Linked DNA regions of Arabidopsis thaliana. The protein of the gene in region 1 interacts with the protein of each later gene in a pairwise test. Each region holds a gene or a part of one and is shown on either strand. Other genes may lie near its edges.

What was found. The genes of interacting proteins can lie anywhere in the genome.
Region 2: the proteins of AT5G02760 (region 1) and SAUR15 interact in binary tests that used the Arabidopsis thaliana proteins (3 or more experiments, as listed by UniProt).

The regions. Positions count from the first base shown.
Region 1 is NC_003076.8:623,632-627,641, reverse strand, and holds AT5G02760 (Protein phosphatase 2C family protein), read right to left. Parts: upstream 2,389-4,010; 5' UTR 2,266-2,388; coding exon 1,974-2,265; intron 1,899-1,973; coding exon 1,537-1,898; intron 1,380-1,536; coding exon 1,143-1,379; intron 1,047-1,142; coding exon 825-1,046; 3' UTR 518-824; downstream 1-517. UniProt on the Arabidopsis thaliana protein: Dephosphorylates and represses plasma membrane H(+)-ATPases (PM H(+)-ATPases, e.g. AHA1 and AHA2), thus influencing negatively plant growth and fitness. Promotes the apical hook maintenance of etiolated seedlings.
Region 2 is NC_003075.7:18,124,311-18,127,369, reverse strand, and holds SAUR15 (SAUR-like auxin-responsive protein family), read right to left. Parts: upstream 1,314-3,059; 5' UTR 1,114-1,313; coding exon 844-1,113; 3' UTR 541-843; downstream 1-540. Other genes in the region: AT4G38840 (SAUR-like auxin-responsive protein family), read left to right, coding at 1,897-2,196; CRK26 (cysteine-rich RLK (RECEPTOR-like protein kinase) 26), read right to left, coding at 2,427-2,741, 2,824-2,974, 3,047-3,059.

The DNA of each region.
Region 1 (4,010 bases):
CAAGCACAAGCACCAGCAATTGAAAATTTGTACTGCATGCAGCAAATATTTAAGTAAGGGAGACATTTTTTTACTGTTTTGAACTAGTTAGAAATTAGAAGTGTTGATTACTTTTGAGTTGTGCCTATTTTGCTAGTTTTTCTTAGTCTTGGTTACGAAATTTAGCTGGTCTACTGGTGTTCTGTGCTTGATTGCGAATATTGCATGCAAAATGGATCCCATAAACATGTGTCGTTCTTAGGTTACTTAATTTCATATGACCTCTCAAGCCGCTACTTCAGAATTTCTTTGTCATGTAAGACATCATTAGAACTATAGATGTACTTGTTGGTTTCCATATCTCTGGTCTCTATGGCAGTTGAAGGAAAGAGAGCCTCAGATTCTAAATTCTCTGTTCGTGGGACTGCGTTTTTGCTGGCTTCTGATGCTACACAGTTTCTTTGTTTCTGTAATAGATTTTAGATAAACTTTTGTTGATACTTGCTTTCTGTTAATTTTGAATGAAGCGCCAGAAAACTTTTATAAAGGGAATGTAATGTTAAGTTTCAACACATTTCTTGGCTATCTACTGTTTTGTGCCTAAACTCCAATATGTTGCAACGCTTTCGAATTTTACCAGCGTTGACATTGATGATATTGCATGCAAGTACCCTCGTGTATAATTTTGCATACAGGGGTACATGAGAATTCATGTTTTCTTGTGGAGAACATATCAAAGATCTCATAACTTAATATTGTTTCTAGCTATACTACTAGTTCTTTTCTTGACCCTGGCTCCAATTTATTGCCCTTGACACAGGAAGTGTTTTTGCCGTAAGATCTGTTCATGATGTTGAATGCATCGGGTATCCCCCTCTAATTGACAGAGGTGAAGCCCAAGAATTGGTTTTGACCGGGTGGGGGTTGAGATAGACCACAATAACGGTTATATCGTCGTGGAAATGCCTTCTTACACCAGGATGGATCTCTGTTAGGTCTGAGTATCTCATCTCTCTTTTCTTTGCTGCTTCCTTCAATGCAGCTTTAAGTAGTCTCCTTGCTATTCCCTGTGATTGTGAAGGTATTAGTATTAACGAATAGTTCTTGGTGTGCATTGTGCTAGTATGTAACGTATTTGTATATGGGTTAGGCATTGAACTTACTTGTCGAGGGGAATTATGCACAATATCAACAGCTTCCTGGTTGCTAAGATGCTCCCAAAGCCCATCTGAAGCAAGAATTATAAACTCATCTTGTGGGCTAAGCCGCGTAATGGTGACTGATGGATCCGCACTAAGGATTGGCTTAGTGAAATGTTCTGGTAGTCTGAATTTGGGCAGCAAAGGTTCTCTGTTGAACTCTGCTCTTTTGAGGTATGCATCACCTATGGATCTTGTGACCTGGTTAAAGGTCATAACACATTTGCTAGTCAGTTTTACATCCTTACACAAGATAGGCTTCAATATATGATTTTCTTAAGCTTTTGTATTTCATAGAAACTGATGAAGCAAAACTCTGTGCAGGTTATCAGATGCGTTATCATGTATGAATGTTTACCTGGATAACGCCTTTCACACGCCACAAGCGGTGCTTCATCACAAGAATGGTGGGGTCATTAGGATGCAATGACCATAGCTCTTGCCTCGCAGACTCAAGATTGGCATTGTGCTCTACAGATAACTGAACAGCTCTCACTCCACCTCTCTCAGATCTGCCCAACACAGCTCTGGAATCTCCCGTGTTTGCAATATACACCAATCCGTTGCATATCACTCCTGCCAAGCAACATGACCCCACTGATGCCATCTGTGGGTTCGTAGGCCATTGCTTCGTCACTGTCTTGAGAAAATCTTTGTCTGTCTCGGCAAATGCTTTGCTGATCACCTGCTCTGAAATCTCCCTACCCTCGGACGCAAACTCTGTTCATGTGAGACCAGTGTTAGTGTGCCTGGCAGATTCAACAATAAAGGAAATAAAAAAAGTCGGTGTCTTACTCTTTAACTTGGGGAAGATGTTGTCTGCAATGAATCTGGAAGCCTCTGGACCTCCATGGCCATCGTAAACTCCAACAAATGTGCCTTGAACTGTCGGATTGTTGAATGTAAGCGGCCCTGATTCGATCTGGCACTGATCCTCCATCACACTGTTGGCTTGGATCATTGCCATGGAAAACTCTCCAAAGGTGTGAAGACCAAGATCTTTGTACCATGTCAAACCATCAACCTTTGTGGGATTGATCTTACTTCTCTCCATACCGGCACCTATTCTCCAACAGGGTTTAACCATCTTTCTCAGGTATGTAATCTTCGAGCAATATCGTAATATAAACAGAGAAGAACTCTATATAGAATAAATTGATGGAATAATGATAAACTAGTAGTAGCAGTGCTGGTTGTGAATTATGAGATACAAGTTTAAGGAAGGGACCATATATATATAGCCGTGGAAGCCCTAGAGTAAGTGTGAAGGTGTTGGAAAGCAGGGAAAGAGGCCAAAAAGGGTATGGGTCAAAATAACTGAAAAATTAAATGGTTCTGAGAGTTAAGACAAGAGGGCAGTAGTTTAAAGTGGATATTCAGAGATTCTCCTCTTTACTGTTCGATGATGATTCTCTGTCTTAGTAGGGCTGTCATATTCTTTTCTACTCTCTCCTATATTTATAACATCATGTAGTTATTATTGCGTTAAAAGTGTCTCTCCTTTCTTAGAGGTTAATAATCTTGTAAAAACTTAGGAAGCAAGAATGTTCTCATTATATGATTAATGACTTCTTAGAGGTAACAATATCTCATGTAAACGTCTGTTTTCACATTGGTTGTGTGTTAGTGTCTTTATTAACTCATCTTGTAAATGAGTTTTTGGCTTTTGTTTGCAAAGTGGTAATTTGTGGGAAGAAAATGGATAGAAAAGGAAAGGTCATAGGATGCATGTGTGGGCGTGGGTTTTGGGAGCATTGAACTTGGAACCATTTAAAGATTTGAGAGCTGAGAAAGACTGAAGAGAGAGGAGAGAAGACATTTGTGGGGCGACTGAGGAACACTCTTAGCTGTCTTAACCCCTACAGGTCTTTGCCCTTTTCTCAGTCTCTCGTCTTTCTTTTTTTTACCTTTTTCTTTAATGTTATCAAAAGCTGATCTCTTACTTGTTGTGAGATTCAGATCGAAATTCATGTCATGGATAATTATGGGGCTGAAATGAATTTTCAAAGAGGATGGATCTTTTTGGTACTTTTGCTAAGTTCCATTTTGCATGACCCCTCATTGGCCTTCCTCTGTCCCTCCTCGTTTTTTCTGTTCATAAGGATCCACCGATTTGATGCTACTGTAGAGAGAACCACTGTCGTGTGTTGATAGACCAATTTCATCAACGAGATTGTTTAAATTTCTATATGTTATCTAATGCATATGTCGAAGTTAGATCGAGTTTTCGTTTTTCGTCTATCTTTTTGTTGTGCTTCGAAGTTAAGAATTCAACAAGTGGGTTACACAACTTCCACTTCCACTTGTTTTTTTTAATGATAATAATCTCTTGAGACAAAAACATGTTAGGCTCCCTAATTCGATCTTTTAAAACAAGAAAAAACACACACACAATGATTTATAGTGGTTTACTTTAAATATCAAAATTACGTTATCCTTTTGTTTTTGTTTCTTCTAGCTCACGAGTCACAAACAATGAGAAATGATAACAATGATTCAAATAAGGAATACAAGTGGATCCGCAACTTAGGCTCCACAAATATAATAAACGGATTAAAAGATACCAAAAAAAGAATTTTCGTATTGGATGCATATAATTTAGGTTTAACCAATTGTTATATTGATATTGGATTTACTTCTACTTGCTTATTAATTTTGTTGAAAGGTCTTTCATTCATTTCTTATATTTGGTTTCGCATATGACGGTTCCACTAGTTCGATAAGGCCAACCTCATCAATTGGTGTGACTTGACGCATAATTTGGTAAAAAGTTTGATGCAATATATAGATCTAATTGAAGTCAAATCAAAAGAGTAAGAAAATCACGTGTAA
Region 2 (3,059 bases), on another chromosome or scaffold:
GTATAAAATGCAATGAATGTATAAGAAAAAATATATGTTAGATTTATTTTGTTTTTTAAATAAACTGAACCTTGTCATCCAAAAAACAAAAACATATTTTAACTCTATAGTCAGAGAATAATAACATTATACACATAATTCAATAAGAAAATAGATGTACATTTAAAAAATGCTAGCTGAACCGGACTAACCGGCAGGTTTCAACGTCCATAGTACAAGTGTACAACAACTAACGATACAGAGAAAACAAACAAACGTTACAATGACGTAAAGCAAATAAATAGACGTTTAAGAAAAAAAAATAGATGTAAGCAAGAGAAAAAACGGTGCCAACTTCCCCACGCGCATCTGTTCCTAAGCAACCATAGTCAAAGAGCGCGTGAATGTTAGGCGTTTAATTTATGGGCTTTGGGCTTCGAAACCTATTTTAAATTATGTTTGGGCCACTATTAATTATTGTTTGAAAATACATTTTTTAAACAACTTATATGAAGAGCCAAAAAAAATACCAAGTTTTCTCATTATTACAGTTGTCGCAAGGAATGATAATAGTCACATAAATGTTCTTTGAGAAATATGGAAATAACTACCAACCAGAATAATGAGTGTTCAAATTCTGCCGTTTCACTGTAATGACGAAATGTATGGTGTCCAGAGTTAAATGACACAAATGTATAATTCCTTTTTTTGGTACAAGACACAAATGTATTAACATGCAAATACGCATTGATCAATTACGATCTATGTATTGTATATTCCTCTCATTGAAACAATTTACAATTATCTCCAGGGGAAATTAGCTAACAATCTAAAAAAAATATGGAAATGTTGTAGTATAGTACTTCATTGTATCTGAGATGTGACTGTGAAGAACAAAGATTCATGACATGGTATTGTTAAGCCGCCCATTGGATGATCATAACCAAACTCTTCCTCAGATTTACTCAACAGTTGTTGAAACAAAGGCTGGTTTAAGTATGAAACCGGCACCACATATCTCTTCTTCTTCTGATCATTCTCTCCTACATAGACCGCCATGAATCCTCTTGGTGTCGACGATGATTCCCTTCGAATAATTTGCTTAGCACCCAAGAAACTCCTCAAAAAAGCCATATTTTCCCTTATGTTTTCCTGAAGCTTAAATGTTTCTTAGTCTTGGAGAAAGCTTTGAGATTTTAAAATTGGATCTTCTTTAGTTTGTGAATCTAAAGGGGTTTAGTTACTTGTTATATAAACGAACGTATGAAAGAAATGATTAAGTATTTTTGAGGTTTTTCTTTTTAATTACAGAGCACATGGCTTTGGGTTGTAGATACTAAACCAAGAACAAATCAATAAATGGTGTCTGAGAAGTTAGTGTCTAATGATGTCCTACATGATAACTTCATTGGGGCTTATTTGTCTCAAAGACATCACATGCCAAATCTCTCTATAGATTATGTAGGGACATGAAGTTGTGTACCTAATGAACCACAAGTCTCTATCACTGATTAAGTCATACCTTCTTCTCAATGATATTCAAAAGACAGGACCACATGATTTGATTATATACTGACAAAGTCACAAAAGCCTTCAAAAAAATTCTGTGGCAAGAAAGGAAAATTTGACTAGTTATAGTGTCTATCTAACAAACAAGTGGTCATATTGATTTCTGTCTTCACATCAGAAATCATGAAGATTGATCACTATAGGGCCCTTACTTATCATGCCGTGGTCCGGCAAAGCCATGTGCTTGCTTGTTGGTGTAAAAATTTATGAGCTGAAACTTTTGAAACCAATAAAGGGTTATCTACAAGTAATGTTCTTATCTATATATACTCATCACTGACTCCTTTCTGCTCTGCAAGTTTCTCACATTTTCCAATAAAGCATCTAACTTACAATTAAAGACAATCCATGGCGATCAGAATCCCTCGTGTGCTGCAATCATCGAAGCAGATTCTCCGACAAGCCAAACTGTTGTCATCATCTTCTTCTTCTAGCTCTCTTGATGTTCCCAAAGGCTACTTAGCGGTTTACGTAGGAGAACAAAATATGAAGAGATTTGTAGTTCCGGTTTCGTACTTGGACCAGCCTTCATTTCAAGATCTATTAAGAAAGGCAGAGGAAGAGTTTGGATTTGATCATCCAATGGGTGGCCTCACAATCCCTTGCAGTGAAGAAATTTTTATTGATCTTGCTTCTCGCTTCAACTGATCATGACTCACTCGATAACCTTACTTTTGTCATTGATTTTTGTACATTTTGTTTTCCCAATTAGTTTTCTTCAAGAGATGAGATGACTTAGAAACAGCATCTCTCCTTGAAAGTGAAACAGAGACTTGTAACACTCTTTTTCCTCACTTACAGTGAGTTGGACTCAAATCTAATCAAAACCATCATTTAGTCATCATCTTGAAAATCTTAATTTCAGTGTCCAAACAAACTCACCGAGGATACAACTCAGTGTTGGAATTATAGTTTGAAGTTTTTGCATTATGTCCTAAAGAAGAAGAACTATCTGATACCGCATTGCTGTGTGAGAAAAATGCAGGTTTTGATGGTTCTGAAAGAGCAATAGTATGTCCATCTAACATCAGAACAACAGAAGCCATGCTTGGTCTCTCTGCAACTTTCTCTTGGACACAAAGAAGACCAATGTTTATGCATCTCATGATCATATTCGATGAATAACTCGACATTGTCATCAAAATCTTGTCCACAAGATTCAAAGCAACGCCTTCCTTCCAATTTCTCCAAGCCTTTACCAAAACATCAGAACTCAGTGAAGTGAATTAACAGTTATTGATCAAATCTCAATGCTTTTGCATGTAATATACTTACGAAGCTGATGAGATCTCCCATGCTGTCCTCACTGCTGAAACCACTGTTTTTCTTACCACTGATGATCTCAAGAACTAAAACTCCGAAACTGTAAACATCTGTCTTGAACGAGAACTGTCCGTGCATTACATACTCTGGAGCCATGTATCCACTGTGTAAACCAAATGACTGATCACAATCGAGGTTGATGAGTAAAAGATGAATGTTAGTTTTTGCTACTTACAAAGTCCCAACGA